Drosophila melanogaster: one gene and its partners. The protein of the gene in region 2 interacts with the protein of the main gene of each other region in a pairwise test. Each region holds a gene or a part of one and is shown on either strand. Other genes may lie near its edges.

The links.
Region 1: the proteins of CG4360 (region 2) and CG10321 interact in a two-hybrid assay, tested with the Drosophila melanogaster proteins (one large-scale study listed by BioGRID).
Region 3: the proteins of CG4360 (region 2) and CG31365 interact in a two-hybrid assay, tested with the Drosophila melanogaster proteins (one large-scale study listed by BioGRID).
Region 4: the proteins of CG4360 (region 2) and sv interact in a two-hybrid assay, tested with the Drosophila melanogaster proteins (one large-scale study listed by BioGRID).

What each region holds. Positions count from the first base shown.
Region 1 is NT_033778.4:21,632,786-21,638,946, reverse strand, and holds CG10321 (uncharacterized protein), read right to left. Parts: upstream 4,269-6,161; 5' UTR 3,966-4,268; intron 3,567-3,965; 5' UTR 3,544-3,566; coding exon 1,036-3,543; coding exon of another isoform or gene 976-1,035; 3' UTR 548-975; downstream 1-547. Other genes in the region: CG15674 (uncharacterized protein), read right to left, coding at 4,777-5,580, 5,638-5,982.
Region 2 is NT_033777.3:20,323,774-20,329,918, forward strand, and holds CG4360 (uncharacterized protein), read right to left. Parts: upstream 4,231-6,145; 5' UTR 3,764-4,230; coding exon 3,100-3,763; intron 3,026-3,099; coding exon 2,543-3,025; intron 2,488-2,542; exon of another isoform or gene 2,456-2,487; coding exon of another isoform or gene 2,445-2,455; exon of another isoform or gene 2,380-2,444; coding exon 1,856-2,379; 3' UTR 501-1,855; downstream 1-500. Other genes in the region: Sirt2 (sirtuin 2), read left to right, coding at 4,816-4,900, 4,956-5,047, 5,104-5,200, 5,256-6,142.
Region 3 is NT_033777.3:23,123,449-23,128,389, reverse strand, and holds CG31365 (uncharacterized protein), read left to right. Parts: upstream 1-1,967; 5' UTR 1,968-2,047; coding exon 2,048-3,128; intron 3,129-3,194; coding exon 3,195-3,328; intron 3,329-3,388; coding exon 3,389-4,093; 3' UTR 4,094-4,428; downstream 4,429-4,941. Other genes in the region: CG31457 (uncharacterized protein), read left to right, coding at 610-1,285, 1,345-1,682; CenB1A (centaurin beta 1A), read right to left, coding at 4,761-4,941.
Region 4 is NC_004353.4:1,087,031-1,091,840, reverse strand, and holds the start of sv (shaven), read right to left. Parts: upstream 3,044-4,810; 5' UTR 2,779-3,043; intron 1-2,778.

The DNA of each region.
Region 1 (6,161 bases), on a different chromosome or scaffold from region 2:
TATTTGTAAGCGGAAAACCAAACCTTTATCTTATCTTGCGAAACGCGGCTGACCGCCATATATAATCTGAACAAAACAAATAAACGCCTGGCGATTTTAGCTGTCACAATGTTATTCCAATTGATTATTTTCGCGGCTTATTTGCTAATTAATTAACAATTTCTTGTGACAGCCGGAGATTTCAGACTGCGATCAGATAACCGATTATTGGGGGGTCACTTTTTATGGATAATATAATATATATGTATGTACATGTACCTAAATCACACTAATAGGCATTTACAGATTTACATAAGCATCCATACGCGAATCGTAGTTATCCAGATACTTCCCATAACCGGATGAACGCGACACGTGGCAATTGGGAATCAATAGACAAGACCTTGGCTTGATTGTTGTTTTCTTTCGATCAATTTTGTTTGGGTTCTGTTTTTTCCCGGTCTTCTGTCAATGCAATTGAACAACAAGCCAACAAAGCCAGCGAATTGGATTACACGCTTAAAAATAAATATTACCGGCCAGATGGGACGTACAAGAAAGACAAATTATGGTTTCATAGAAGGTTTGTTAATTTATTTTGTTGTTCAGTTAAAACAAATTCACTTATTTCAAAGCCCAACAATGAAAACCCAACGCCAAAATACGTTTAGCCTAAAATGCCAGTCTGTATTCCCCGGGAAAACAAAATAATAATAGTAGGGTAATAAAATTAAAAACAAAAACTGGCACAGTCCACGCAGGATTTATGCCCCAAGCGTTTGGATGTGAGGATCCGCCTCGATCTGCCTACCTAAAGTTTCGTATCTGCTTACAAAATTCGAGTGAATCGCTTAGGTCCTACTAAACAAGTTCTACGACAGAAATCTAGGATTGCAATATTTGTGTAGTTGTGCTTATTCCTAAATTGTTATCTAGACGGGGGTAGTACAAAAATATATATATATATATGTATATATATTACATCTAAGTGGTCATCTAAATGCCGAGCAGGCACTCGCCGTTTCCAGGAGCGCCCGCTGCGGCAAACTCCGCTGGCTACGCCTGCGTCACGAAGTACACCTCGCCGGATGAGCCCATGACCACGGCGTGGGTATCGCCCGTGCCGCCGGCCAAAGTCGTACCCTGGCCGGTTGCCATCATGTTCGACATGTCGGTGGTGCCGTTGCTGACGATGCTTACCGCCCCGCTGAAAGCATCGTCCTGGCCACTGATCTGCACCTCTGCACTGTGATCCGTGCTCTCCACATGCAGCTGCAGTGAGTCCACGTTGTCGTACAAAGATCCGCACTCGCCGCACTTGAACAGCGGATCCACAACCTCCGGATGCTTGCGTTCTACGTGCCACTTGAGGTTCACCGCGGACGAGAAGTTCTTTCGGCAGTTGGCCACGCCGCAGCAATACGCTCTCTGCTGGTGCGTCTGTCTGTGCCTGTACAAGATCGCCTTGGACTTGAAGGTTCGATTGCAAATGGTGCACATCGGTGTGCTGGATTCAGCGTCGTGCGTCTTCATGTGCATCCGCAGCATTCCTGGGCCCTTAAAGCTCTTTAGGCAGATCTGGCACTGCGGCTGTTTCTTGCAATTGGCCCGTATCCAGTTGGTGTGGGAGTGCATGTGGTTCTGCAGGCCCTTGAACTGCCGGAACTCGGTGCTGCACAGGTGACAAATGTATCTCCCAGATCCCAGAGGCGAGGTGTGCTGTCGTATGAACTCAGTTACCAGATTAGCATCTATTTCGTAGTTGTCGTCCGCACCGGCGGCTGCAATCACGCTGGCCGTCTGCACCAACTGGCGAGAGTTGGCTGCGGCCAGCTTGCTGCTGGTCGTTGATCCAGCGGCAGGTGGTTGGTGGTCGCAGGGTTCCAGAGTCACACCGGCTGGAATTTGGTGGTTACTTCGCTTGGCTCGCTTTGGCGTCGGACTGGCCGAGCTGACGGTCATAGTGGGACCCACCAGGGCTTCCGTTGTAGTTGTGGCCTGGCTGAACTCTACAACAGCGTTCTCCAGTGATATGCTCTGCATCTCTTCTTGGTGCTGCTGATGATGCGACTGCTCAGAATCCATGAATGCCTGGTCAATGTCCACACTTGTCTCGCCATCCGGCGGCTCCATAATGGAATACTCCAGATCGTCGTCTACGTCGCCGGACAAATGCGGATCCTGTTCCTCACCGATGTACTCACAATCCTGGTCGATTTCCTCCCCATCCGGATCATCGAGCATCTCGTCATCCTCCAGCTGAATCTCCTCGATTATGAACGTATCCTGGTCCTCTTCGGGCTTCATTTGCTCCTCCTCGTCTTCTATCTCGTCCATTGCTTGCTGTTGGTCCAAATCGTCGAAGTACTCATGGTCTTGGCTTTCACTCTGCGTGAGATCCTCGTTGATCATTACTTGGTGGTGCTCGTGGTGGTCCTTTAGGAAGTCCTGCTGCTGATCGTCGTCCAGTACAATAGTCTCAAAGCTGTGATCTGCCTTGCTATCCAGTTGCTCGTACACATCTTCCAGTTCCTCGTCTTCCACCTCACAGCCGTCCTCCAGCAACTGCACGTCGGCATCACCGAGAGAAGCGCCTACATGCTGACCCATATCCGTGGCGTTGGTAGTTGTGGTCACTGTCGTGACTCCGGTCGGAGCCAAACTGCGTTGCGGCACAAGTTGAACCAGCTGCAGGGTCTGCGTGCCATTGGGCTGCTGAACAATCTGCAACGTCTGTCCGTTCGGCGTCTGTAGAAGCTGTGGCAGGAATTGCGATTGCGCAGCGGTGGCCTGACCATTAGTCGTTGACTGCGGCGCTGTGCTGATGATCTGCGCCAACTGCGGCGCTACAATCTGAGCAGTCGTTATCAATTGGCCGTTGGGCAACAGGATCTGCTGCGGCATAGTCGTGGTGGCACCGGCAGCGGACAGTAGCTGGGCGGGAGCAGGCTGAAGTGTGGGCATATGAATCTGCTGGATCTGCTGCTGCATAGTGGGCTGTTGCGGCGCATGTTCCTGCATTAATTGCATCTGTGGCTGAGGGGCGGGCTGCGGGACTGACTGTGGTGCTGGTGCGGCCTCCAAATGCCTCTGCTTCTGCTGGCGGGAGCCCTTGCGGAGCAGCGGCTTCAGTTTTGGTTTGGCAGGAGGCTGATGCTGTTGCTGCTGGACTATCTGCTGCTGGAGTTGCTCCTCGAGGATTTTCTGTTGCTTCTGCAGCTGTCGCTGTTGCTTCCGCTCCAGCTGAAGCTGCTGCTTAGCGTTTGCCGCCTCCTGCTGCTGCTGCTCCTCCATTACCAGTGCCACGGTAAGACCGCGGATATACTCGCGCAGCTCCTTGTCGCTGCGCTCGACGAGCGTCTTGAAGGCGTGATTCCGGCTTACGGCGTGGACGCACTGCACGCAGATCTTGTCCGGCCAGCCCTCCGTGGGCTCCACCCGCACGCTGGTACAGTCCATCAGCATTTCGGGCACCTTTTCGCTGAACAGCGGGCGCATCTCCTTGCGCTCCGAGATGCACAGGCGGCAGATCTTGTCAAGCTCCAGGACCTTCTTGCGATCCATCACTTCGTGTTCCTAGGGGGAGGCTGCAATGGGCCAGTTTTTTTTAATTTAAAATAACCATTAGAATGAGCGGATCCCCGAAAGGTGCATGAGTACGAGGTTTGTTATGATTTGCCCGCCAAAAAATGGTCAATTAAAATTCAGAATAATTTCATCTGTTGTAAAATGACCTGCTAACCCGCTGTTAATAACAGGGACTGTCGACACGTCTGGTAGCTCTTGTGCCAGACAGAGACAGCCATATTGTTATACACAATTTACCATCTTGGTGTTGGTGTGAGCGAAAAATGCGATTTTTAGGCCCAAAAAACGAAACAAATACATAATTCCCGACTTGAATTGGGTAAATATTGTTTTCGATTCACTTGCACCCGCACTTAGAGCACCTTTCGACCGGGTTCCCGCAACAAAAATGAACTCACCTGCGCTGTATTTATGTAATTTTCGCAGCTCGCCCCACATTCAACACAAAAAACTCTTTAAATATGGCCGCGTCACACAAATCGCATTCGGAACTCACATATTTGTGGTTCAGGGCGAAACACACACGTTCCCAGAGATGCGAACTTCAAAACCAAAACAAGTGCACACCAGTGGGTCTTTCGGGACCCTGATCGAATGAAATCACTAGCTATCTCTGGCGACGTTATCAATAAGGTTCTTCCATGAGATGAATGAATTGATGAACTGAACTTCTGCCTCTATCTGTCTTTCTCTGTGTGCGAGTGTGAGTGAGATGATAGGCGTGTTGTGAATGGCGCTGCCAACGTGGTATAAAGACAGAAATCCCTAACGCATGCCGGTCGGAAATCATTTTGTTTATTTCCTCAGATTTCTAGATTTCTTTTTAATACTTAAAACTTCTTATGTTTAAGGCATGAAATTCCATTGAAACTTACCTTTTCTCTATTTACAACTTAGGTTTTTGATGTGGGTCCTTCAGCTCACAAGTCTCTTTAATTTCTCGATTTTAGAGCCATTCCTTGCCGTTCATACCAGGGGATTTCTTTACATATTCAATGAAACACACAACAGTTTTTTGACTCACATTAACATTTTCAAGCCGAAATTTTTAATAAATCTAACCCAAAAAACGAACACACAAATTTTAATTCGAGGACATAGCAATTGAGCTGCCAACTCGTTTTTTAAACTGACATTTCGAACTGAAAACACCTGTTGATCCTGGTGTTATTTTCTGATTTAGAAAACTTAACTTAATGTCCATAATTTTTAGGCGGGTGGAGGCACATTCGTGTTGGCCACTTCGTACATGTGGCGCTTCTTGGTTCTCCTGTTGTGAGCGCTTACTACAATGTATATGCCCAGGATAATAGCGAGGGCCAAAAGCAGACAAGTAATCACAAACCAGCAGTAGAATCCTGGACCTTCCTCATCGTAATCCTCTTCCTGTGCGTTCTCCCACTCGGTATAGTTGCCCGATGGATCCTCCCTTATCTGGCCAACCTTCGGCTCTCGGAAAAGCGAGGCCTTGGCCAGGTTGCTAGACTCCGGAGCCATGAAAACCGGCTCCGTATAATCTATTCGGATGAAGGTGAGCCGGGCCCCGGTCAGAGTTTCCTTATAGCGTCTCAGCCCATGGCCATAGTACTCGTATATGTCGGCGTCGAACTCCCGATGCTGGTCTACCCATTGACCAATCACCTGCACCTTCACCTCGCTCCTGGGGTCCATGCTTCGTCCGAAATAGGCTTTTTCCGCAACATCCAGGCCACCCATACCATACAAGTCCAACTCGAGAACAGAGGACCGGTGCTCGAAGAGCAGAGGCAGCCTGGATAGCTTCCTATGCTGGTACACACTGGACATGTTCACAAGGATCTTCTCCACAAAATCGTAGTTCAGGCTACCGTAAATGGGCTTACGTTCGCCACTGGGATTTCGGAGCACACTGTCACCCAGGTGCATCTTGTAGCTGTTAGTCACATTGCGCCACGGCAGGTAAGTAATGTTCCTCAGCTGGTATGCCAAAGGTTCCAGTTCCACCAGTACGTTAATGTTATCCTCAAGACCATACTATAAAGATAACATATTTGTAGGACATCAACCGAACCATCTTCCCGAGGAACTTACAAAGTTATCGCCAAAAATCATGACCACACAGGTGAACAGATTGTCGGACACCGCATTGACAAGATCCGTGTGTCGGAAGTGACAGAGCTCTGTCTTCTCCCGCTCCACGTTCGTGGCCTTGGCAATGTATGTCAGTCGCTCCTTGGGATTCAGCTCGGCCGCATAGTTCTTGAGCACGGTGTGGTAGGGAATCCAGGCCAGGACCGAATCACCTCCGTTGGCGCACACCTCCGTCTGAACTCCCCTTCCAGTCAGTTCTCCGTTGCGCAGCCTAAAAAAGTGATGGTTATCTCGCCTGATTGTGGTGGAGCCATGATCTGCGCACAGGGTGTCCACGAGGTTTGCCTGGAAAATGAAGAGATAAAAGTAAAAGACTGAAACAAACACCTTGTTCGTATATAACCACCGTCTTCGGCTTATCTCAGGTCCGCCGGCATTATCTTCTTCAGCTGCGATGGACACTTTGTCACTTTATCGTCAAGCTAATTCAATTTGGAATATCAGCCACTCGAATAATTTATTGG
Region 2 (6,145 bases):
GTCCATATGCAAATCTCTTCCCTTTTAGCCTTGGGCATTCCTTTCTCAAGATAAAACGTCTGGGTAGGTTAGTTTGTCGGAGATATACATTTATATCAAAATATACACATACGTACGAGTAGATGCACCAGATTTCGTAAAAATTCCAATTTAAACGATGCTACTACAAAGCTAGTTCGCTTTTCCTTTCCTTCGATAGACAGTTAATATTAAATGACACGATTTAGGATGAACGACGAACGAACAATGCTCGAGAGGCTCTGCCCCATAAAGCACCACTTATACACAGTGCAACATACCTTAGAGATTTAATGCGAGAAGTGCTTATAGTAATTACTTTTAGTGTCTCTTATACACGAATTGTTTTTCCTCTTCCCAATACCTGCATACTTAGAATTTAATAAACTCTCCCCATTTCAAATCAAAACAGACGTGTTTTCATCTGGGCAAAGTGGTAATTAATAGCTGCTATCGTTAACAATATAATAAAAAGTATAGTTAAAGTTTCTGTTTGCATGTTTTATTGTTGTTTTTGCTCTTCGCTTCGCTTACATTTACAAGTAGTTTATATATATTTATATATATACTATATATTCTCTACAACATTTACGATCGATCTGTATCAATTCAATTATAGCTGGTTTTACTCGTTTTACTTCGTTCTCCTTATCGATTCACTTAATTTAGGGACTCTTGTGTCTCTCTGTTTTCTAAGTTTTTGTTCTATAAGCAACCCGGTTTTCATTCTTTCGCTCATTAAATGTATTATTGATTATTTATGCGATCGCCATTGCTCCGCGCGTAGTCATTTGAGTAGAAGATGCTGCTAAGTATGCGCTAAGAGTACACTTATATAAATAGTTGCTGTTTTCGATTTCCGTTCGGTTCGGTTGCGATGACGCTTTATGTCGGTTCAGAGCGGGCGGGATTACACATAGTATAGCAATAACTAGTTTTACTTTTAATTAATTTACTTTACTTTGCTGGCGGGCTTAACATTTAACACGACGAGAAAAGCTGAATGAAGCCGATGCTCGGAACTAATTGTTAGGGATCGAGGGATCTAGGGGCATGGGTGACAACAGTTGCATAGGAGGATAGCTGTAGTATGGATCGATTTGATTCCTCAAGAAGCTTCGGTGCTAAAGAAATCCTAATAACTCTTTGACCATTTTACCTTAAAACAAATAATATAACTTGAATTGTATCAGTTTTAAACAATATCAATATTTTTTTTTTTAGTAAGATGTTCCTTGTAAAGGAAATATAAAAGACAACAATTATGCATATACAGGCATAAAAGGTTATTGTGCAAAGTAGGTCACATCTAAATTTATTGTAGTCATTTTCCTTGCCATTCGAAAACAGCAACCAAACTTAAAAAGACGCCGATGATTCATTTACAAAGCTTTGAAAAGCGAGAAATTGATGGGTATTAAAAGATAATAAAACGTTTTAGACTAAATGGCTTTAAAGTGCCTTAAGATACCTTTAACACACCGACTCAAATCGAACCATCATGGGATAGTATAGAGTTTAGGCCTAAACACCCTGTATCATATCATCTGTGGCTTATGCCAACACGGCTAGCCTTAATTTACAATTGGACACGCATGTGGATCAGCTCTCTACGATATAGTTACATACAATTGCGCTCTGCACAGCAGGTAAATAACACTTTCGAGTATATATTCAAATATAGTATTCATGTAATCGTATTCGTATGCCGTATATGCGATCTATAAGTGTATGTGCTATGTGGCATGCATATTGCACTATTCCTCAATGGCTGCTTGACTGGCTGGCTGGCTGGCTGCGGACCTGGATCGCGTTGCGATCTGGATCTGAAGTGGGTCTAGCAGGTGTGCACCCGCAGGTGGTTTTGCAGTGTGCTTTTTTGCCGGAACTGTTTAGGACAAAAGGAACAGTTGTAGGGCTTTTCACCGGTGTGGATCTTCATGTGGTTGTTCAGCGTGGCCACCTGCCGGAAGTTGACCTCACAGATCTTGCACTTGTAGGGCTTCTCTCCGGTGTGCGTCTTGATGTGATTTACCAAGGTGCTCTGCTGTGAGAAGAACCGCTGGCAGACGCTGCAGCCAAACGGCCGGTCCGGATTGTCGCCCTTCAGCATGTTGATGGTGCCCACTACGGTCATCCGGCCCGACGGCGAGCCGCCCGCCTGGAAATGCTCCACCTTGGTGTTGGCCGCCGCCGTGGCCACTACCGAGCTGACCGTGGTGCTGCCGTCGAGGAAATGCAGTAGCGGATGGTGGTCCAGCTGGATGATGTTCGCCGTGCTACCGTGCAGGTTGTTCGGCAACAGGCCACTGGTCAGCTGCTGCGTCCCGGGCGCCAGAGGAGCGGGCATTGAGTGATCCACTGCAGATTGACGGTACGGAGTTGGATTGTTGGATGATTTGTTGAAGTTAGCATGCGTACAAGATTTAAATAAAAGCTTCGTTAGGGAAGAGCGTTAATAATCAATGCACACATGGATAACAGAAAGCGGCTCATTGGTAGGGCGAACACACAAGCGGCTCACCTGTGGCTGTGACGGCGCCTCCGCCGCCTCCTGCTCCACCGACGCCTCCAGGCGCTATCTGATGCGTGTGCGTCTTGAGGTGGTTGGTAAGGGTGCTCTGCTGGCGGAACTGCATGTGGCAGTAGGAACACGTGTACGGCTTGTCGCCCGTGTGGATCTTCTTGTGGTTGGCCAGCGTCGCCAGCTGGCTAAAGGACTTGTCACACGTTTCGCACTTGTACGGCTTAGGATCGATGTGGGTCCGCTCGTGGTTGTGCAGCGTGCTCAGCTGCGGGAAGCGGCGCTTGCAAACGCTACACTGGAACGGCTTCACCAGCTCCTCGGCCGCCGGCGAGCTGTAGCTGCCGGAATACAAGGTCTTTGAGATTTGGACGCGCTGATGCTGCTGCTGGTAGGCCTGGTGCATCTGGGACTTTCGGTGTTTGCCACTGCCCGTCTGCGGCTGATAGTTCAACAGGGAAGTTGGCGTGCTGGACTCCGCCGCTGTTGCCCGTAAGCGAAGCGAGAAATAGAGTTAGGTCATAAGGTCTATTGGGACGATGCGACCACACACTCACCCTTGTGCGTCTTGATGTGATTGATCAAGGTGCTCTGCTGGCGAAAGTCCTTGGCGCAGATGTTGCAGGTGAACGGCTTTTCTCCGGTGTGGATTTTCACGTGGTTGGTTAGCGTCGAGATCTGGCGGAAGGCCTTGTCGCAGTGTTTGCACTTGTAGGGCCGCTCGTCCGTGTGGATCTTCATGTGGTTGCGTAACGTGGTCAGCTGCCGGAACTTGTTCTTGCACACGTGGCACTGTTTCTTCTTGCGCGGATCGTCCACCACCACCTCCTCCTCGCTAATCACGCTCTGCACCTCCTGTTTCATAGGAGAAATGGGCGTGTGGCTGCCCCCGCCTCCTCCGCCACTGTTCGCTGTTGTAGTGGATATGTCCAGCAAATGGACCAGCGGGTGCTGTGGATGGAGCATGGCTTGGTGGGTAGGGTGCTGGATGGCCTGCACGGCGGTGAGTTGATGCAGCGCAAAGGGACTCTGTTGCAGGCTGGCCAGTGTGGTGGGCTGCTGCTGTCCCGAGTTGGGACCCGGTCCAGATCCACCATTACTCCCTCCTCCACCGCCACCGCCACCTCCTCCTCCGCCGCCACCGCCATGGGAGGCTGGCAGTTGGTAGTGCTGATAGTTGGCCATGGCTGCCGTGGCGGCTGTCGCATGGTTCAGATGCATGATATTCGAGAGATATGATCCTAGCGTGGATCTACAGTCTGCCCATCGGCGGCGTTACACAATGGCGGCCACCGACGACCCTCGGCCATTCCCCGCCCCCGCAGTTGCTTCCACTGCGCCGCTCCTTTTGGGGCCTTTTTTGATTTGTTATTTCAGTCGTCTGGTTTGCACTTCTGTGTACTTTTGCTGCGCTGCTGCTGCTTCTTCTTCTTCTCTTCTTCAACACGCTGCTTACGCTTCCACGTAGCGATTGGGAGGGCCTGAATCCGCGGCCACTTTGTCGCGCACTTCCCCACGATCAGTTTCCACCGTTTTCGCTCGCTTTTGGGGCGCTTTCTCCGCCGTTTCTGCAGTTTTTCCAGGCCACGCTCTTTTTGTATCCGTATCCTTATCAAAACAAAAATGACTGGCGTGGTTTTCCAGGGCTGAGCGAACGGGCAGAGCTGCACCCCCGCCGAACATCGAGTAATCGACTATCGGCCGGCCAGGGCTGGTGGCGCTAGAGAGCCTAACACTGGGTGGGTCGATAACAGCTATCGATTATTTGGACACTCCGTGCTGACAATTCAGCTGATTTTAACCTTTCAATTAGTTTATATTCAGATATCAACAAAGTGTAATTGTTATTTTATCTATACTCGATTTTGTAACTTTGCGCCCTTCTTAGCTTTAGTTATTCTATTATTCGGTTCCTTTTTGTTTAATGAGTCATAATATGTTCTAACCGTTACAAACACATATTTATTTGCGACCCTTAATAAATCGCTGTTAAATAAAAATCTTTCATTGATAGGCTACTTAAAGTAATTATAATATTTTGGTTTGCTCGCACAAATTTGATTTTAAAATCTAAATCAATAAGCAATGAAATTAAAATTCTAGCTTTTTAATAGCTGTTAGAGATAACTTATTCGTTAGCCTAAACCTATCGATAGTTGTCAGAACTTGTTTTGCTTTTTACGTTAAAACAAAACGCAACATAAACAATTGGGAGAATTCATCACACTATCCTCAGATTTACATACTTTCACCGGAAGGTGAATCTGTTTACCATGGGCGACATCGAAGTAAAGAAGGAGGAACAACCGACGACGCCCTCCAATTCCTCGTCCAGTGACGACGACGAGGAGGCCCCAGGCTAGTCTAAATAGTTAGGTCTTTACTGTCACTCATTAATTGAATTGAATTCTAGACGACACAATGGATAAGGTTCGACGCTTCTTTGCAAACACTCTACATCTCGGCGGCTCCTCGGACGCAAAGGAGGAAGTTAAAGTAGAGAAGGTGAGCGGAGCACCCGATAATTTGATTATCATATTGATTAAATCGCAAATTTGCAGGTTATTCCAGATTTGAGTTTTGACGGCTTTGCCGAACATTGGCGTGTGCATGGTTTCCGCAAGATTGTGACCATGGTGGGAGCCGGCATATCTACATGTTGGTACATTCTATATACCATTGTAAAAACTTACTAAGTTATCGCCATTCCTAGCTGCTGGCATTCCGGATTTCAGATCCCCAGGTTCCGGGTTATACAGCAATCTGAAGAAGTACGAGCTGCCACATCCTACGGCCATATTCGATCTGGACTACTTCGAAAAGAATCCAGCGCCGTTTTTTGCACTGGCCAAGGAACTTTACCCTGGATCCTTCATTCCCACGCCGGCCCACTACTTTATCCGTTTGCTTAACGACAAGGGACTACTGCAGCGCCACTACACCCAGAACATAGACACGCTAGACCGGCTTACTGGCCTGCCCGAGGACAAGATCATTGAGGCCCATGGCAGCTTCCACACCAACCACTGCATTAAGTGCCGCAAGGAGTACGACATGGACTGGATGAAGGCGGAGATCTTCGCCGATCGTCTGCCCAAATGCCAAAAGTGCCAAGGCGTTGTTAAACCAGACATTGTTTTCTTTGGCGAAAACTTGCCAAAGAGATTTTACTCCAGTCCTGAAGAGGATTTCCAGGATTGCGATCTGCTGATCATCATGGGCACATCGTTGGAAGTGCAACCGTTTGCTTCACTGGTGTGGAGACCAGGACCACGTTGCATTCGCCTCTTGATCAATCGCGATGCAGTGGGTCAGGCCAGCTGTGTGCTCTTTATGGATCCCAACACGCGATCGCTACTCTTCGATAAGCCCAATAACACTAGGGATGTGGCCTTTCTGGGCGACTGTGATGCTGGCGTAATGGCTCTGGCCAAAGCCTTGGGCTGGGACCAAGAGCTGCAGCAGCTAATTACAAGTGAAAGGAAGAAACTGAGCGGCAGCCAGAATAGTGAGGAGCTGCAACAAGGCAAAGAGAAACCGCAATCGGACCCGGATAAGATGACTTCGGGCGATAGGGACAAGAAGGATGCTTCGCTTTAGACC
Region 3 (4,941 bases), 2.8 Mb from region 2:
ACACAGACGACTGTTACTGTATATTATCATGGAATTGAATTGCATAATTTATTGAGGTGCGGCGGCGAGTTCAAGCCCTTTGATATAATATATATCGTACTTTGTATATAGAAGAAGCATTATAGTGACTGAATATCTTATTGTAATTGTGTATATAATACTTAATAGTTAACTGCGTATTTATACTTAATATTTAATGAAATATAAAGAAATTGTTTGATAAATGAATGTGTGTTATTGCTGCATTTCAGGTTATTCAAATGAGCGCTATAGTATCGTTGTAAAATTTTGACTATTTGAAATTCTCCCGCCAAGCGCCTTGCTGAAATACGGGCACATCAATGGCAGAGCAGCCAGCCTTGAAATACTAAAATGCATTCTCTCAACCGCATGGCCACACTGAAAATATCGATAACAAATCGGCTAGACTTGTTGATGTTTCCTAGTAGGAAATTCCTCCGCTTCCAATTTTAGTTATTTGTCTTCAAATGTTTTTTTGTTTCATATTCTAAACTGGTTGCTTGGAAAGATTGCTAGATTGTCCATCATTCCGAATCGTGCCTAATCAGGTGTCCGGCTGCCACGCTCCGAATTGCCTTGAAATTCAACATGAATGTTTGTCGCCTGTGCTTGTCGAAGGAACCCAATTTCCCCGTTTTCGGTGCAAATGGATCGACTGCTCTGCAGATAATGGTCTGCACATCGCTGGAGATCGAGCCCGGCGACGGTCTGCCACAGCACATATGCACCATGTGTCGGCTGCAACTGGAGGAGATGCACTGCTTCCGACGACGCTGCCTCGCAGCCGATCGCAAATTGAGGCGCCACAAGGCGTTGCAGCGGCAGGGTGTCAAGTCGCAGCTGAGTGAAGTGGAGGAGGAGCGGGGCTCCGGGGAAGGATGCACGCAAACTGGCTGCGCCGAGAACAATGCCCAGTGGCGCCAGCAGGCCGCCCAGCTCATTAGCAGCGAGATCGACGCGTATAAAAAGGAGCTGCTCAGCACTTGCAAGCAAGCTGTGCGGGCGGAAATCGAGCTGGAGCTGCGGGCGGAACTCGAAGAGGTCATCATACCCGAAGCCAAGCAGCAGTTGCGACTGAGCGTTCTGGACGACGTGTTTGTCGAACTGGAACGGTACTTTGTGCGCAAGCGCAATGAGGCGACCTATGAGATGAAGATGAACTTAAGCAGTCCGCTGCCTGACGAACAGACCGCTGGCTTCTACGAAACAGACATGGGCCAGGAGCTAAGGGAGCAGAGCGATAACAGCGTGGTGGAGTTACTGGGTAAGACCAGCCCACTTACTTTGCAATTGCACGACTTATATATTTCTCAAATGTAATAGACGATGAACCAGAAGCCAGCAGACAGCCAGCTGCAACGCCACTAGTTGCTGTGCCCATGGTTGAGATCAACATGAACGACCCGCAGCTGAGTCATCTGCGCAACGACTATAGCAAGGACACCTTTCTGGGTGCCAACACAACTGCCTTAGAGGATGTAAAAACCCCATCGCCGTGTCGAAAGAAAGTGCGCTTTATGAGCCCCAAGCAGACGACCGATAACCTGTGCCGAAAGCACAGTTCCTTCAAGACAAAATGCAGCAGTTCGTACGCCGATTTCAAAAGTTGTGTGCGCTGTCGTCTAAGAGGAGCGGATAAGCTAAATAACACCGTGACGTAGCCACGTAACAACGAATTTAGTTTAATCCTCTATATTATAAGAATAGTACCTTTTTTTGTGCACGCATATTTGACTAAGCCATCACCTATTTTAATTGTCATTGTATTCTATTAAACTTTAAATATGCACATTCGGTATGCATTGGATTTGTATGAAAATCAATACCTTTAAACCTTACATTAATAAATTAAGTTATGATACGTTTATGGGCCGTATATATCAAATTGTTTATTTACGAACAGTGTGACTGTATTGCTTTCGTTTCGAGAGGAGGTATTTTTAGCGAACCTGTCTGCGGTCACATTGCTTGCGATGCAGAGACGCCACCGAGTAAATACGTTGATTTACCAAAAATAGACGCCTTCATGGATGCACAGCCGTCGTATCCCGATTTGGCGACCCTGTGCCGCCTTTGCCTCAAGGAGCACCAGGATGCGTACGCGATCTTCGACGAGGACGACACCCAGCTCTCGATACCCGTGCGCCTGATGGCCTGCGTCGCACTGGACGCCAAGGCGACGGATACTCTGCCGAAGAGGATCTGCCAGGAGTGCCGCTATCAGCTGGAGAAGTCATTCCTGTTCCGGCAGCGCTGCCAATGGGCGGAGAAGAAGCTTCGCAAGCATATCCGACTTCTGGGTCTCGGGAAGCGAAGCCGCGTCTTCTCCAAGGATCCGGACGATTATGACGAGGACGAGCTGGAGTTCGAGGACTCTATTGCCTTCATCGAGGTGCAGGACAAAGTGCGCAAGCTTGAGGACGAAAAGTGGCGAGAAGATTTTAAGGAAGAACAGGCGGCGGAAATGCACAAACGGCTGGTCAAATCTCGTCTAGAACTTCGAGCGAAACTGACCACCGAACTGCGCAAGGAACTAGCGGAGGAGGTGCGCAGTGAGGTTCGCAAGGAGCTGGCCGAGGAGGTGCGCAGCCAGGTTAGAGATGACCTGCGAAACGAGGTGAGCGAGGACATAAGAAAAGAGCAGCTGGCCATGCTGTTGGGCGAATTGGAGGTGTATCTTACCGAGAAAAAGGCCGGTCGGTGGGAGTCTTTGGATGGGTCCGAACCAGAGACCAAGCCGCAAGTCAAGGAAGATGCCTCCCCTTCTAGGTCAAAAACTAAAGCTCTTCCAAAGCGACGACCCAGCTTGGTCGACGCCAATCTAAAGGCGACAGAGGCCAGGAAGGATGCAAAAGAAGAGGAATTCATATTGGGCTGCAATACCGACCCCGCAAATAATAGCGATGTAAACATAGATGGCCTCGAACTGGACGAGGAAGTGCCCGCGGAAAGCGGTGAAGACTTCAGGGAAATCAACATGGTTGGATCAGATGTAGTGCACACAGACAATGGAGAGATTTACATCATAAACTCTGCCAGCTCAGAGGATCAAAACCAGGACTCCACTCCCGAATTTGACCAGGACAACGGAATCACCTCCTATAACAGTAAGTGGGTATAATTTGGCAAAAAAAATGTGAAAAAATTTTCATTTCATTAAATTCTTTGCTTAGTCAAAGAAGACGGCGAAATTCAGTTCAGTGGCGAAAAGCCAGAGGAAATCGAAGACGTGGTCGTGTTTAATCTGGGCGAGGAGATATCTCAGGAGCAACAGGTCTTCAGCTTCCATGAAAATGTCATTATAGTGGTAACTAACCGTGTGATTTTAAATTGAACTCGAATTCAACTTGGATCTTATTATCTGTAGGAAAAAGAACAGAACGATAGAGATGAGCAGACGCCCCTCAAACGAAAGAGATCGAGTGAGTTGGTGTTCAAGCAGGAGTCCAGTTGTCCTCAACCAAAAACCGGTCGAATTACGGACACGGTGAAGTCGTTCCAGTGCCATTTGTGCCCGGTGGCATTTCCTACGCAGAAACTTCTGACGCGCCACCACAACACCCACATTAAGGGACTGAAAAGTGGAAAGGGCGGCACGCTCAAGTGTCCCAGCTGCGCACTGCAACTGTCGTGCGCCAGCTCGCTCAAACGCCACATGATTATCCACACGGGCCTGAAACCCTTCAAGTGCAGCGAGTGCGAACTGTCCTTCTCCCAGCGCGAAGTGCTCAAGCGTCACATGGACACCCATACGGGAGTAAAGCGCCATCAGTGCCCCCAATGCTCGAGCTGCTTTGCCCAGAAGTCCAACCTGCAGCAGCACATTGGCCGCGTGCATATGGGCAACTCTCGGACGCACAAGTGTCATCTGTGTCATCGTAGCTTCAATCATGTTTCGGGCCTCAGTCGCCATCTGGTCACCCACGCTGGCGTCATGTTCTCCTGCAAACAGTGCGGCCGTCAGTTTAACGATCGCAGTGCGGTCCAGAGACATGTAACCACAATGCACAAGGTGAAGAACAAGCTCACAGACTACATATCCGAGACGAACGAGTTTCAAGCTGTGGCCTAGAATAGTCCCTGGACATGTTTTACCAATACACCGCAGATTGGACCACCATGTTTTACACCTGAAGAGACCAACTTTGATTGATCTGAATATTTTACAACTTTATTCGCGAACCTAGAGTGCTCACAACAGTTGGCACCAAAAATCATCAACATGATAGCGTTAAAACATTTAGAAACATGCAGCATTAAACAGTTTAGCAAACAAATACAAATCGGAACATTTGGAACAGCTCTGTAACAAGATACATATAGCTAGACGTACATTTTACAATATCGTTTAATAAATACCACATAAGACGATGTACAATTTTATAGGCAAATATACGTATTTTTAATAAACTCAACTGCTCTACGAATACTTTAAACTTAAGCTAATCGCCAAAAACGGATTCAAAATGCGCCTAAGAGAAAACGAACGATCGTGCCTGCCATTCGAATGCCAAATGCAATGAATAATATTTTCTTGTATAATCGGAAGCGCTTTTCAAATGAGATTACCAAGGGAAACAAGCCCGCAACGACATCCTTAGAGGTCGAAACCGTTTAACATTCCTGGTTAATGCGTTATAAAGCCAATAACAATCCAATATCACGCTATCCTAATAATTGGAACAAATTATTCCATAATATCCAGTAAGGTCCTAACTCTTGCGGCCCTTCTGCCACTGCTAGTCGGAGTTTGTAAGCGAGCTGCGCTGCGATTCGAGTGTATTTGAGTCGTGCCGCTGGCGCAGAACTCGCGTCTGGCTGGCTGGTAACTTGGAGAAGTCCTTCATTACGTTCTTGTACGTCTCATCTTCGCCATTGTACTCGTCGTTGGGTCCAATCTCGTCATTCAGTTGTGTCAAT
Region 4 (4,810 bases), on a different chromosome or scaffold from region 2:
CTTGCCGTATGACTACAACTAGAATCTGTAGATCGACTCGTCTAGACAGTTATGAATATATATTTTATAAGATCGAAAACACTTCTGCTTTTCAACGAATCAACACGTAATGGCTTTAATAAATGAACTAAATCAACCGAGCTATATATAAAGAAAGTTTTAAAGTGATACATTCAAATAAGAGCATTTTATGATGGAAAACGCGAAACTATGAACTAAATTAATGTATTTTTATATAAATGGTATATCCCGATTTGGCATATTTATGAATAACTAGAAATTTTAAAGTTGATTTCCTCGACTATCAAAAACTCGTTACTCAGCTAGTGTGAGTGCTGGGAAAAAAATCATACAGCGAAGGTGGCTCTAAAATTTGCTTGTTAATCTTAATCGTTTCTTTCTATTAGAGTTACCTAGATCACTGCGTTCAGACCATGGCCAGATTGTTGATCCTGATCAAGAATGTATGTATTTCATACGGTAGGAAACGATCCGTTCTGCCTGTTACATACTTTTCAACTAATTTTACTCTACGAGTAACAGACCAAATTATGATATTTTTATACCCGTTACTCGTAGAGTGAAAGGGTATACAAGATTTTGTGAAAAGTGTGTAACAGACAGAAGGAAGCGTCTCCGACTATATATAGTGTATATATTCTTGATCAGGATCAATAGCCGAGCCGATCTGGCCTTGCCAGTCTGTCCCTATGAACGTCGAGATCTCAGGAACTATAAAAGCTAGAAGGTTGAGATTCAGCATACAGATTCTAGAGACATACCCCCCTGTTGCCACGCCCACAAACAAAATTGCCTCGATTACATTTTTGAAGAATTTTTGGATATTTTTTCATAATTTTATTAATTTTATTATAACAAAGAGCTTAGACTTATAAGCATTTTTTTAATTTTTAGTAATTTTATTCCACAATATTTATCGCTTAGCCAAAATTTATGAAATTTTCTCTTTGGCATTTCCACTAGCTGCGTAACGGGTATCTAATAGTCGGCCAACTTGACTATAGCAATCTTTCTTGTGATTCGTACCTTTCAATGGCACACATATATTTCACTATTTCACTATCCGCTCTTGTTATCCAGGGCAAGGTGCACTTTCTTCCCGCCGAATGAAGCCTTAACCCGCGCAAACGTGGTTGCTAGCACTTATTCACCTGTTGTTAATTGACCTTTTTGGGACTGACACTCCCCTAAGGGTCAATATAGCTAAATGATCGAGTCAGCTACGTGTATGGGTATGGGAATAAATGTGTTCGTTTAGGCCATCTGCTTTCTTTCTACATTTATTGTTTCCTAAATAGCCTAAAATGAAAGAGCGCTAAAGTCGAGTTCCCCGACTATCAGATACCTATTAATCAGCTAGTAGCAGCAATGTTTAATAACATTGGAGCCATTTTTTTATGAGAACATTTTGGGGTTCGTCGATAAAAATTAGAATGACAAAAAAATAAAATCAATAAAAAATCAAAATACATATAGTGCCTGCGTGGCACAGGTATGAAACAAGCTTGCACCGCTTTTATAATTCACGAGGAAAATTAATTTAAAAAACAAGAGAGAATCCTACAGTCGACTTCCGCGACTATCAGATACCCGTTACTCAGCTAACGCATTTCTTATTTTTTTAATGATAAAAATGAGAAAAAATTTAAAATTTGGTCAAAAATGTGGTCGTAGCAGTCTTGGGCGGCTTGTAGGCGTAACAGCGGGCGTTGCAAAAAGAAAATGTAGATATAAATTTACAAAAACTAAAGAAAATATGAAAAAATATCATTTTGCAAATATGTGGGCGTGGCAGTTCTAAACGGTTTGTACGCGTAAGAGTGGGCATGGCAAATCGATAGAAATTTAGGAAACAAATATGAACAAATTTCAAAATATATTTCAATGGCGTGGCAGTTTTGGGCGTAACAGTTGGCGTGGCAATACCTTGTGCTGCGTGTATGTCTCTAGAATCTGTATGCTTAATCTCAACCTTCTAGCTTTTGTAGTTCCTGAGATCTCGACGTTCATACGGACGGACAGACTGTCAGACGGACACACGGACATACGGACAAGGTCAGATCGATTCGGCTATTGATTCTGATCAAGAATATATATACTTTATATGGTCGGAAACACTTCCATCTACCTTTCAACTTTTCAACGAATCTGGTGTACCCTTTTACTCTATTAGTAACAGGTAGTAGTTAGTTAGTACAAGTTTAGTAGTACAAGTTTTGTAGTTTTGTTGTTGTGTTCGAATTCGAATAAAGGGCTCGAATTCGATATACACATTTTCTTGTTGATAATAATAATAATAAATAAAAAATTAATTAATTTTAAATTTTTTTTATAAATTAATTTTAAATGAATTTGGAAGTATATAGTTAAAAGTCACGGTCGGGCACAGCGGTCCTGTTACGAGGTCATTGGAGCTTCTACAATTTGTTATTTTCATTACCAACTGGTATTCAGGCAGAATAAAACCCATACTTCATTCAATTCAACAAAATTAAAAGTGGGAAAAATAATTGTATTTTCACACACTCCAGCCGAATAATAGCTATGGGGAGCCAGAATTTTTAGTTAAGACAGTCGAGGAAAACAAAGAAAACAAGTATTCCAAGGTCAGGAGCGTGGGTAAATATAAGCTGTTCAAATTCGGAGTATATTTAAAGCCGAGCTCAAGCGCCTTAAGTGTTTAATGTTATATAACTTGGATGATTAAGGAATTATTTTTACCTTAATATATTTAAAACTATGCATTAGTTTACTCACTGAATATTTTCGTTTTATAAAGATTGGTTAACATATAATTGTTTTAAAGAATTTCAATAAATTATTAGTTATTTAGCGTCACTCAGTTAAGGTAGTGAAAACGTTCAAATACGAATTTATACACTAACAACATCACTGAGTCAAGGAATCTAAGCCTTGAAAGGTAAAAAAGACAGCGCGAACCACCTGTTGGCTAAAAATCCACGAAGCAACACGATTTCCAGGTGGATCTTGAAGCGTACGCCAAGAGATCTCGAGCGAAACTAAATTGTTGAATGGCAATGGACGACGGAAGCAGTTTACATCGCTCAAACTCAGCCGACCACTTTTTTGAGTGTGTTTATGATGGCTTATATGTTTGAGTCGCTCTCAAAACTTGGCCCAAGGCGGCTTTACGGTTGGTCGGCTACATTCGCACTCAACTGGCGGTCGACTAATCGGGAGACATAGCGTGTTGTTCGGATGCAAAAGCTGGGTTTGAAATACGATCGCCGCTTCAAACAGAACGAGTGATAGAGAAAAGGAAAGAGAACAAATTAGTTAAAGTCACTGAATGAGAAGGGATGAGATGGTATTCTTGTTTTCCCCTGTTTGGTCTTAATGATCAGAGTGTTGGAGTGCTTATACCCGTTACTCGTATAGGAAATGGGTATTCTAAATTCGTTGTAAGGAAGAAGAAAGCGCTTCGAAGCGTTTGGTATATCCCTGATTATGATCGTTCTTTTTTATATCTGTCAAACCTCAATCTCATAACCCTACAGTCCTGACTGCTTAAAGTTTCCTAAGGTCCAGCTGACCCATATTTGTCTAATTGTTTTCCACTAAAGGCCTATATTTATTGGTTCCGGTTTAATATTCCTATTATTAGATACATATAAAGGTGTTATCTTTTGGCATTTAACAACAGGCTCTCGAAAAGTGAACGCAAGACTATGTATTAAATTTGAAGTAACTACATTTTGTTGAACGGAAGCTAAGTCAGTTTATATACATAAGTAATCAACCCCCTTTTAACCGTCTGGATCGCGTATTGTTACATTGAGTGACCTGCATTCTACAGGTTGACAAGCGAACAAATATTTATACATACATATTTGAAAATGTGTAATATACGTTTGTAAATAAATCGTTTAATATACATAGGTGTACTAGGAGTACAGTCGGCACTACCTTATGATATACACATACATATATTGTTTCTATGCTTCCATGCATACAAAAATAATCCACATTTTCGTCAGAGTAGTGAAACCAAGAAAAAGTTAAATTGGCATCCCTGAACGACGATCTAAAGCAGGCTGCTGGTACTCAAACTATTAAAGAGAAGACGGCGCGTGCCAAGCAATCTTCGACTACCGTTGCAAACTACACGAAAGGGAGAAGAGAGATTACTCAACCGTTTCAAAATTTAGAGCTGACTGGTGTTACTATCGTATAAAAAAAACAAATACAAATACAAAGTTTTTTTTCATTTATGAAATCTATTAGTTTATAAACATACTTAGTCAATATTACTAGCCACTTGTCCTCTTTAAAGGGGACTGAAAAGACATCAGAATAAGATTTAACTTTTATCATTTATGTCAAAATATTGTTAAATATATTGAAAAATCAAAGAGTGACGTTGCCGTGCGTCTTTGTCTCTGGAAGCAACAAGCGGACAGGGTCAGATCGACTCGGCTATTGATCCTGATCAAGATATATATACTTTACATGGTCGAAAACGCTTTCTTCTAACTGTTACATACTTATCAACGAATCTATCTTTTATTCTACGAGTAACGGGTATAATAATATGTTACAGAATTATGTAGTGTACACAACAGAATATTCAGGTGTTCATTTACCGTCATCCCTTGAATTCTTTTGCGATCGAAGGAAATGTCTTGGACGGTTGCCCGCGCTTTATTTGTGAAACACCTGTTAGACCGAACCGGAAAAAACCTACCCTTCGATCGCGCCTCTGTTAATTTTCCTTTCTGCTTATATATACTCCTTACGTGGTTAATTCGTGCATTAGTACCAAAACTGG